Canis lupus familiaris: one gene and its partners. The protein of the gene in region 2 interacts with the protein of the main gene of each other region in a pairwise test. Links are inferred from orthologs where the notes say so. Each region holds a gene or a part of one and is shown on either strand. Other genes may lie near its edges. The genes, in order: WDR5, HSF2 and NUP62.

The links.
Region 1: the proteins of HSF2 (region 2) and WDR5 interact in binary tests that used the Homo sapiens proteins (3 or more experiments, as listed by UniProt). The two-hybrid records come from large-scale screens. The link is inferred for Canis lupus familiaris from reciprocal best matches to the Homo sapiens genes HSF2 and WDR5.
Region 3: the proteins of HSF2 (region 2) and NUP62 interact in binary tests that used the Homo sapiens proteins (3 or more experiments, as listed by UniProt). The link is inferred for Canis lupus familiaris from reciprocal best matches to the Homo sapiens genes HSF2 and NUP62.

The regions. Positions count from the first base shown.
Region 1 is NC_049230.1:50,410,341-50,413,988, forward strand, and holds part of WDR5 (WD repeat-containing protein 5), read left to right. Parts: coding exon 1-81; intron 82-730; coding exon 731-839; intron 840-1,133; coding exon 1,134-1,207; intron 1,208-1,597; coding exon 1,598-1,687; intron 1,688-1,883; coding exon 1,884-1,973; intron 1,974-2,169; coding exon 2,170-2,253; intron 2,254-3,648.
Region 2 is NC_049222.1:62,382,320-62,385,202, forward strand, and holds the end of HSF2 (heat shock factor protein 2), read left to right. Parts: intron 1-735; coding exon 736-820; intron 821-1,258; coding exon 1,259-1,551; 3' UTR 1,552-2,264; downstream 2,265-2,883. UniProt on the Homo sapiens protein: DNA-binding protein that specifically binds heat shock promoter elements (HSE) and activates transcription. In higher eukaryotes, HSF is unable to bind to the HSE unless the cells are heat shocked.
Region 3 is NC_049222.1:107,310,806-107,315,130, forward strand, and holds the start of NUP62 (nuclear pore glycoprotein p62), read left to right. Parts: upstream 1-1,487; 5' UTR 1,488-1,620; exon of another isoform or gene 1,621-1,838; intron 1,839-4,325. UniProt on the Homo sapiens protein: Essential component of the nuclear pore complex. The N-terminal is probably involved in nucleocytoplasmic transport.

The DNA of each region.
Region 1 (3,648 bases), on a different chromosome or scaffold from region 2:
ATGGCAACGGAGGAGAAGAAGCCAGAGACGGAGGCCGCCAGAGCACAGCCCACCCCTTCCTCCTCGGCTACGCAGAGCAAGGCATGTCCCTGAGGGCTTGAGGGGAACTGCCAGGGGCGCCTAGGCCGAGTACTCTTCAGAGATGCTTCTTCCAAGTCTGTTCTCCCTCTTCAGTTAGACACTGTGTTTTTATTTATGGGCCACAGACCTAATCAGTGCTTGTTTACCGTGCTGAGGATCCCCAGACCTGTCCCCCGGAGAAGGGGCTTTATCACAACATAGATCCTTGTTCCTGATCGTAAGATCTCTGCAGCACCCAGAAAGCCTCTCATACAGCATCCCCCTGGTCCACAGTTCTGGTGGCCAGGCAGGTTTGCAAACCCCTTTGCTGGACACCAGGCGGCACATACAGGCCTTTGAGCAAGGCTACAGCCTTCAGGTTTGCTTTGAGGGAGGCTGTGCTTGCCGGACTTGGTGATGCGTGTCGGACGTTGGGGTGGGGTCAGGCCTTGAGGGGCCTCTGTGTTGAGCTGTCCTGGAAGAGCTGGGCACGAAGGTGGGGGCTGCAGGAGAAGCAGGGCTGCCGAGGGGAAATAGCCCAGATTTAAACACGACCAGTTGGAAAGGACTTCCAGAGAGTTCTAGCAGGATTTGGAACTTAGAAGGTGGTTCTGAGTTTGAAGCAAGGTGGTGGTTAATGGTTTGATGACTAGTATTCTCTCTTCAACAGCCTACCCCTGTTAAACCAAACTACGCTCTAAAATTCACCCTGGCTGGCCACACAAAAGCCGTGTCCTCCGTGAAATTCAGCCCGAATGGAGAGTGGCTGGCAAGTTCATGTACGTATCACCAGGGCCTCCGCTCCTGTCAAAGGTAGTCTGTGCTGCCACCAGAAGCCCGGAGCAGGGGGAGGGCTTGCTTTCTGATGCTGCCACTGGGGTGTCGCAGGGGCTGGAGCCCTTTACGTAACACTCTGAGATGATGTGCTCAGGGGAGAGGGGAAGGGTACTCCGGTGCCGGCTACTTCTTTCCATGGGATTTGCACTGTTTCCAGGGCTCCTGTTGTGGGCAGCCCGGATTTTGCCCTTGGGGTGACTGTACCATCACAGTTATTTTGTCTTTCTTTTTTTCAGCTGCTGATAAGCTCATTAAAATTTGGGGAGCATATGACGGAAAGTTTGAGAAAACCATATCTGGTCACAAGCTGGTAGGTTCATCCCTGCACGTGGAGGTTGCCCACTGGCCGCCTTAGCCCCACTGGTGGGTGGGGCCCATCCCCAGAGCTCAGCAGGTTAAGGTCTAAGCTTTCCCCCGGAGTTTTTTGGATAGTTCTTTGCTTTTTGTCTTTTTTTTTTTTTTTTCCTTTTGTCTTTTAAGCAAGTACTTCTGACCTTCCCAGACAAGTTTCTGCCTGACTGCAAGAGAACACACTCTCCTTTGGGGACTGTGCGGTGTTTCGTCTGTGTGGTCAGCAGTAGCTAGAGGGTTTGGGTAGTGGAGTGAGGTGCTTATTTATCTTTGGATGGATGTTCTGACCTTTGCTGGTTAACTGTATTTTGTCCTGTCAAGGCGGTGACCCTGTGTCTTTGCTCCCCAGGGGATATCAGATGTGGCCTGGTCATCAGATTCCAACCTCCTCGTTTCTGCTTCAGATGATAAAACCCTAAAGATCTGGGATGTGAGCTCGGTGAGCTGCTCTGCCCAACCCCCGCCCCGGCAGAGCTTGTGTGCGTGGACAAGGGGCAGGGCGGGAGTCCGAGGGGGGTCTGGGGACCCTGGGTCATGGGGTGGCCCTGCTCTGTGGGGTATGTGCCATTGGGCCGCTGTGGGCTCAGCTTTGAAATAACCACTAGGACTAACAGTCTGACGATACTTGGTTTTAGGGAAAGTGTCTGAAAACCCTGAAGGGGCACAGTAACTACGTCTTCTGCTGTAACTTCAATCCCCAATCCAACCTCATTGTCTCGGGCTCTGTAAGTCTAACCCCCCCTTCCCCTGGGGTGTTGTAGGGGTGTGGGGGTGTGGTACTTTGTAGCCAGAGACTTAGGAGTTGAGCCTGAGTCTTCTCTGCTGGGGGATGGGGGCCGTGGTGGCAGGCCTTGGGTTCCAGAAGACCTGTCCTCTCCCACCTCCCTGTGGAGTGGCCTTAACCTCTTCCTTTGTCTTCAGTTTGACGAAAGCGTGAGGATATGGGACGTGAAAACAGGGAAGTGCCTCAAGACTTTGCCTGCACACTCGGACCCGGTCTCAGCTGTAAGTCCCGCTGAGCTCTGGACACCACATGGCAAGACAGGGTGATGGCCAGAGAGGGGGCACTGGGGACCCCGAGAGAGTTCTCCCTATCCTGGGCCCGTGAAAGGAGAGGCAGGCGAGGGGTTTGGTCCCTGAACCAAATCCTGTGGGACAGGTAGGGCAGCCAGGCCTGGAAGAGGGGCTGTGTGTTGGGAAGTGTGGCCACAGAGAAGTGAATTTGGAGTGGAGTTGGCTTTGATCCTGGGGTGGTGGTGGAATGAGCTGGGGTGAGCTAGCCGAGGGTAAGGGCTGGGGTGGGGGGGGGGTTGGAGCCCCACGAGCACCCTGTGTGTGCTGTGTCCTGCCTTGTGCACACGCTAGCAGTGTGCAAGATGAGGTACGTAGTTGAAGTATCTGCTGTAATACAAACCCTCCATTTGAAAGTGGCCGAGAGATTTTTTTCTTTGTCAGCAGAGCCTAGACTTGTTTCTTAGCCAAGTTTGCCTTTTTTTGGAAAGGGGAAGGAATCGTGTAAACATTGTGCTTATTTTTACTGAGCAGATGGTCCTTTTCACTTTCTGAAATCGTGTAGGTGAGTGATTTTAAGTATTTTCAGGCAATAAAGGGCTTTTTTGCCCAGCTGAGACCATTCGCAGAGCCCAGATACATGGAGGACATGTATTACGTGTTGGTCGCAGTGGACTGAGGGGCCCTCGCTGCCCAGAGTCCCGGCCAGTGTGGATGGGGCTCATCCTTGGGGGCCCCGAGGAAGGCAGTGTGCTGTGGAGAGGGGGCCTGGCCCACCTGGCGCTCTGCCCTCTGCCGTGGACCCCCAGTCCCAGGAGAGCTGACTTTGAGATGGGCATGGTGGTGAATGTGGGCAGGACCCAGGATGCAAGCTGAGTGAAGGCCAGGAGTCCCAGCAGTGCGAGGTGGTGCGGGGGCTGTGGGTGGGACCCTCAGCCTAAGTGGTAGGGTTTATAGAGTCTTTGTTTTCTGTGGAAGTGAAACGTACTCATTTTTTAAAAAAGACAAACGGATGCAGTGAAGAGAAAGTCACTCTCCTGAGCCCTCCAGGACCCCTGCTGGTAGCCCCCCCCCCCCCCCCCCCCCCGCACGCCCTGGGTATTCTGATATTTTAAATATGTGCTATCTCCCACCATCTGTCCTGTAAGTGGTGGGGGTGACCACAGCTATTGTGCGTCCCTGTGGGAGGGTTTCTCGGGCATCTGTGGTGTCCATAGACCCCCATGGGCAGTGGGCACTCTGTGCTGGGGCCTTAGCAGGTGCTTGTTCGTAGCTTGCATTTCTCATGGAGGAGTGCGATGAGCATCTTCGTTGGGCCACTTTACCCACCATGTGTTTCTGCGGTGAGCTTTAGGAGGTCATCATCGTGTGAAAGAGGTTCACTTAGTT
Region 2 (2,883 bases):
AGCAACTGTCTGGAACTTACGGCTATTTAGGGAAAATTATGAACCTCTGCACCTCAGTTTTGAACATTATTGAAAAGAGCATTGAAGAACTAAACAAAATTAAAGGTTTAATCCCCTTTGCAATCAGATGTGAGGAGAGAAGACAATGGTTCAAAGAAGCAATTTAAATGACAGAAAAGAACTGAAAGAGTCTCAAAGGAAATGAAGAAACTTCACCTCAACTTTGAGGCTTCCAAATATAGAGATAATAGTTTTAAGGATATCACCATGTAATCCTGACCCACTCTAAAAATGTTCACTATGCTAAATATTCTGTTTGTGAATGAAGAGAAATAAGTAATATACATTTTTAATCAAAGCTGTTTAAGATGAGTTTAATTGTTTAAAGAATCATCTGTTAGTTTGAAACCAGCCATCTTTGATTCATTTCCATCTTTTACCTGTGACGGTGCGGTCTGTTCTTTTGAAATGCCCCCTCTTTTCATACTTAACTGTCATCCTAGTTCAGGTTCTTTATTTCATCCGCTTGATGACAGCAGGAGTTTTCTTAACCAGTCTTACCTATTCAAATCTGTTTCTCTTTCTAGTTCATCCTTCCTGGTGCTTTCCCCCTTCACCTGTATTTCAAATAACACATCAGTGCTCACATACTGTATCAGTTTTTTATTTTTTGCCATTATTAGGAATATATAAAATATGAAACAAGAATTTTTTATATTATTTTTTCTCTTTTAGTCTGAGAATAAAGGATTAGAAACTACCAAGAACAATGTAGTTCAGCCAGTTTCAGAAGAGGGAAGAAAATCTAAACCCAAAACAGGTAGGTATAAATGTAGTATTAGTTTTTACAGATTTTTAAAATTAAAGAGTCCTACATAGAAAGTAATGTGAGCCAAGGAAAGTCTTGCCATACTTAACGATTGAACACAGAATGTACTGTTCTCAGTTCTGTGCATAACGTATCAAGGTTTCAGCTTATAGAGAAAATTAAATTGGTGAGGTACTAGTTTAAGTCCTTTTTAAAAAAATTAACTTTAGGAGAACTTAAAGAACTCTATCTTAATAGTTGGAATAACAAGACTTAACTTTTCTGACTAGTACATTTTAAAATTTACTGACACCAAAGTATCATATTTCTTGTTTGGGTGTATAAGGGTACTGATTGCATATATGCACAGCTGTTTCCATTTTTTCCACCTTCAGCTTGAACTCTGTATAAGCTGGTGATAAAAGAGCATTTTTCTAATCTTTATTATAGATAAGCAGCTTATCCAGTACACTGCCTTTCCACTTCTTGCATTCCTCGATGGGAACCCTGCTTCTACTGTTGAACAGGGAAGTACAGCATCATCAGAAGTTATGTCCTCTGTAGATAAACCCATAGAAGTTGATGAGCTTCTGGATAGCAGCCTAGATCCAGAGCCAACCCAAAGTAAGCTTGTTCGCCTGGAGCCATTGACTGAAGCCGAAGCTAGTGAAGCCACACTGTTTTATTTATGTGAACTTGCTCCTGCACCTCTGGATAGTGATATGCCACTTTTAGATAGTTAAATCCCCAAGAAGTGGACTCTACATGTATATATTCATCAAAATGATGAACTATTTATTTTAAAGTATCATTTGGTACTTTTTTTTGTAAATTGCTTTGTTTTGTTTAATCAGATACTGTGGAATCAAAAGCACCTTTTGCTTTTCTTACACACTCTTGCAAAGCTTTCAGATGTTACTCAGCTACGTAGGTACATAAGACTTAATGCACATTGTTGGCATATCTTTAAGTTGGATTCAAATGGCCATTTTTCTCCAGTTGTAGTAACTTGGATTTCTTTTTTACATATATGCCCATTAACCCCAGTTAAACTTTTGTTTGTTTTACTTGTTTGATGCTGTCTGTTTGCATTGAGTGTTAAGTCACTAGAACTAATGGTAGAACTCTTAAAGCTTTATCTGTTCCAGTTACTTTTATTAAATATTTTTCACTTGGCTTATTTTTAAAACTGGGAACATAAAGTGCCTGTATCTTGTAAAACTTCATTTGTCTCTCTTGTTCAGAGAAGTTCATTCATGTTCAACAGGAAAGGCAAAGTATACATGAGTGCTTGCTGTCAGATATGGCTCCAGCTCCACATACGTAGAAAGAAGGGGATGGGATGGCATCAACACCATCCATCTCGTTGGACTAGTTTTAAGTAAAAGTTTTCTGATTTGTTTGTGTTTTTTTGAACCATACTATTTAGTAAAATAAATATAATGAATGTTGCGTACTAGTGTCTGTTATGTGTCTTCTTTAGAGGTGACACCCACATAATTTTTTTTTCCTTTTTATAGGAAGTAGGTAGGCTTAAATTGTAAACTGTCTGTTGTCCATTGAGTCATACCAAGAAATTTGTGCCCCATCTCAAGAGATAGACTGTGTGTATTACAACAAGAAGGAATATAAGGTCTCTAAACTTAATGTGTTTTAAAGTTCTGTGTTAAAAGTTATACTCGCTTGCTTTCTATATTTCTAATAAAGAACCAAGAGAAGTATGCCTCTCATTGTCCCAAATGAGGTAAGAACATTATCACTGGATGCCACCCAAAGGCCTGTGATTTTTGCCCCTAGAGAGACAAACAGTTAAGTCACTTTCTCCTTTTGGACCAGTTGTTCAAGAGGCTTACAGAGGCTTAATGCAAGGCGGGCACCTCTTTTATCAAGTTGAATTCCACCTTCAGGCACAAGGGTGGAAGCAGTGCAATTTATATTTGAATACAAATTAAAATAGGGCCTTCCTCTTGGCCATATTCCGTCTCTTAATATCTTGGAATTTCTCTTACTATGATGTAGAAATTCAAAGTAAAGCCTAGCACAGAGAAATAGGAAACCCTTCCTTAGCAGATCTT
Region 3 (4,325 bases), about 45 Mb from region 2:
GGATCACACCACCTGAGCCAAAGGCAGATACTTCTCCACTGAGCCACCCAGGTGCCCCTCTTTGGGCCCCACTTACTTTTCTTTAGAATTCCCAAGCCCTGTTCCTTCCTATACAAAAACCTAATGGTCTCCCAGGGGAATTTCCTTAAGCCCTTCCCTCCCACCTCACAAAATTACACTTCATTAAAAAAAAAAAAAATCAGGGCAGCCCGGGTGGCTCAGCGGTTTAGCGCCGCCTTCAGCCCAGGGCCTGATCCTGGAGACTCGGGATCAAGTCCCACGTCGGGCTCCCTGCATGGGGCCTGCTTCTCCTTCTGCCTGTGTCTCTGCCTCTCTCTCTCTCCTCTCTGTGTATTCTTATGAATAAATAAATAAAATCTTTTAAAAAAAATTTCAATCCCAGGAGAATTTTCTTCCAGCCACACCCCTTCCTCTAAAGTATTTCCTTTAGGCTCCATCCCATCTAAACACTCGGCTCAAAAATCAGCTCCCAGGGATCCCTGGGTGGCGCAGCGGTTTAGCGCCTGCCTTTGGCCCAGGGCGCGATCCTGGAGACCCGGGATCGAATCCCACGTCGGGCTCCTGGTGCATGGAGCCTGCTTCTCCCTCTGCCTGTGTTTCTGCCTCTCTCTGTGTGACTATCATAAATAAAAATTAAAAAAAAAAAAATCAGCTCCCAGGGGAATTCCCCCAGCCCTGCCCCTCCAAACCGTGGTCTACTAAGTCCCACGGCTTCTTTTTAGCTTCGCGGTGACCGCCCCAGTCCCTTCCCGTCCAATTACCTTAGCCCCCCACTTCATTCCCGGGGATACCCCAGAGGCCCCGCCTTCTCTCCGTTGAAACCCCACCCCAGGTAAATTTGCTTAACCACGCCCCTTCTCACGATAGACCCCCGCCCACCCGTCGCAGCCGCTGATCCTAGCTCCACCCCCCTCCTTACAGGTGGCCTCTAAGCCTCGCCTTCCGCCCTGTCAATCTGAGTCAGCCCCACCCAACCCCGCCCCAGCAGGTGCCCGAATGAAACATAAATTGTGTTGTGCGCATGAGCAAGGTGGAGCTCGGAGACGGGAGCCGGCCGGCGGAGCCACACGCCTCTCTCGCAGGGCTAAAGCGCATGCTCTGCCACTGATCCAATTGTTCTCTCAGGCCTGCGGGGTTGGGGAGTCAGTGCGCATGTGCAGCTGCTTACTGCCCGCCCTTCACTCAAAAAATACGGAGTCTGGTGGGCTTGTGCACGTGAGCAACCGCTCGCGGACAGACTCATTCGGGGAGCGGGGGGCGACCCCCGCTCGGGGCTAGTGCGCAGGCGCACTGCGTGCAGGCCATCTTTAAACTCCAGCATTCTAGGGAAGAACGTACCCTTCCCCCACTGGACCGAATGCGCATGCTCGGCCGCGTGCCAACGACGCGTTTCCCTCTTCTGCGCCTGCGCGACCGTGATTCCTCACTCTCGTCTCCCCACCCCCCAGGCCTGGTCGTGAAGGCCGCGAGCTTCGAAAGGGCGGGAAAGGCGGTTGGAGAGGGAGGGGCGAGCGGTTACTCACTCCATGGCTACGGAAAGGAGAGGCGGCGGCAGCCTCAGCTGAAGAAAAGAAGGCGGTAGAGAAGAGCGCAAGCGCGGTGAGCGCGGAAACGGGCCGGGACACGGAGGGGTCGCGGCTACAGAGCCATAGCCGGGGTTGGGCGGGCGGAGATGGCGTCTCGGTAGCCTGAGAGGAGATTGTGATCTGTGGATGGGGAATGAGGCGGCCCCGGGGAGTGGGGACAGATATACAGGGGATGGCGCAGCACGGCCTCCCCGGATCCATCCGCGCCCCGCCCCGCCAGGCCCCAACCGGGAGGCGGGCCTGGCCTCTCCTCTCGGGAATCCTGGAATCCACTCCCCTCCTCCTCCCGACGCGGAGTTAGGCCTTTTCCTTCCTCTGACCCGGGGACCAGCTCCGTCTTCCTACCCCAGGGGTTCCGGCCCCCGTCCTCCTTCCAACTCTGGGGTCCTGTTCTCTGTCTCTCTGACTCAGGTCCCCTCCCCCCCAATTCTAGGGATTCGATCCCTCGCCTTCTCTGAGACCTGCCCTAGTTCACTTTTGGTTTCTTTTGCCCTAGTTCTCGAATTTCCGGCCAGCCACATGCTGGACTCCTATCCCCAAACTGCCGCCCCACGCTAAGAACCCTTTTTGTGGGTTAGACTCTTGTCTGAGTCACAATGAGACCGCGCGCGCCGTTCAAATCTCAGACCTGCGATGGTGGCCAAATAATCAAGTTCTCTAGTCTCGTAGATCGAGAACTGCCTGTAAAATGAAGAAAATAATCAACTCTGCCTGATGAGAATCAAGTCGATGCCTGTGAAACCCAGAGCCCGGCTCTTAATTGCCTATTTAATGTATCTTATTTTTAATAGGAACTCTGGGGTTGAGTCTCAACCATACCTCCTGCCCTGGCAAGATCCCCAGACATTTGACCATACAATAGCTGCTAGTAGGTCATTCTTGTGTCTTCTTCACTTCTTCAAGGTGTCAGTAATTGCCAGACATCCCCACCTTTCCCTGTTCCAGATGATGGACGCTCACCCGCAACACCAGCACAGTTGCAGAGAAGCAGGCATCATCACCCTGACTGTAGCTTTTCTCCATCCTCTGCCCACCTCCCATCAGCCCTTATCCTTAGCCCTCCTTTCAGGCCAGTTGGTTCTGCTTCAGCTGCCCCCCACTGGATCAGTTTACCAACCCTGCCCCAAAATAGGGAGATCTGCACTGCCCTTTGCTAAAAGAGAGGGGGCTTCCTGGCCATTCCCTCCTATGCACTAGACCCTCCACTGGCCCAAGTGGGTATGGGTCTTTACTTCCCACCTTGCATCTGTCCACAGCAGGACACCTAGAGTTCAACTTAACATCACGGGTGGTGGTTCTGAGGTCCAGAGAAGGTGGGGGAACTCTGATCTTGAGACTTATTTGGGAATGAAGATAGCAGGCTTCAGTTGCATGCAGGAAGTCCTTCTTGGGATCTGACCACTTTCACTTAGAGCACTTACTGTGTACTGTGCCAGTATTTGAAGATTTGACCTATAGGGGCTAGGTTATTACCTAGGCAGCATGAGTAGCAGTTAAGTGCAGACTCTGGCGCCCAGTTTTGGGTTCAGACCTTGTCTCTACTCCACTTATTAGCTTACTGTCAATTTCTTTTTTTCCCTGTGCCTCGGTTTCCACTACGTTCAAATCTCAGACCTGTGATGGTGGCTACATTATTTTATCGCTACGTTTCTATTAACTCCATATAGAAACTTAGCGATACATGTGGCAGCTAACAGTGCTTACTTCTGGGGTGCCTGGCTGGCTCAGGCGTGTGACTCTTGATCTTCAGGTTGTGAGTTTGAGCCCCACATCAGAAGTAGAGTTTACTTAAAGAAATAGTGCCAGGCAGCCTGGGTGGCTCAGCGGTTTAGCGCCACCTTCAGCTCAGGGCCTGCCTGTTCCTGGAGACCTGGGATCGAGTCCCACATTGGGCTCCCAGCATATGGAGCCTGCTTCTCCCTCTGCGTGTGTCTCTGCCTTTCCCGGTGTCTCTCATGAATGGATAAATAAAATCTTAAATAATAATAATAATAATAATAAGTAGTGCCTACTTAGTACTGTCACAAGGATTCAATGAGTTAATTCATAATTCAGGTCAAGCATTTAGATTAGTCCTCCTTTCTGCCCCCCCAAATCTTAAGTCTTCTAAAAACATCTAGTATGTACACATGGACTAGGCAATTTAAGTAAATTTTTATTTTAGAATAATTTTATTTTTGGGCAGCTCCAGTGCCCCAGCGGTTTAGCACTGCCTTCAGCCCGAGGTGTGATCCTGGAGACCCAGGATCGAGACCCACGTCGGGCTTCCTGCATGGAGCCTGCTTCTCCCTCTGCCTGTGTCTCTTCCTCTGTGTGTGTGTGTGTTGGTCATGAATAAATAAATTAAAAATCTTTAAAAAAAATTTTTTTTTATTTTTACAGAAAAGTTACAAACATAGTGCGGAGAGTTTCCATATACCCCACATCCATTTTCCCTGTTGTTGACCTCTTTAACATTTCTGTGATATATTTGTCACAACTAAAGAACCCACGTCGGTATGGGATTTTAAAGTGCACACCTCATTTTGATATTCTGATTTCACTAGTTGTTTTTGTTTTTGTAGATATTTACTTTAGAGAGCACAGGCAGGGGGAACAGCAGAGGGAGAAGCAGGCTCCCCACTGAGCAAGGAGCCCTACCCAGGGCTTGATTCCAGGACCTTGGGATCATGACCTGAGCAGAAGGCAGATGCTTAACCAACTGAGCCACCCAGGCAC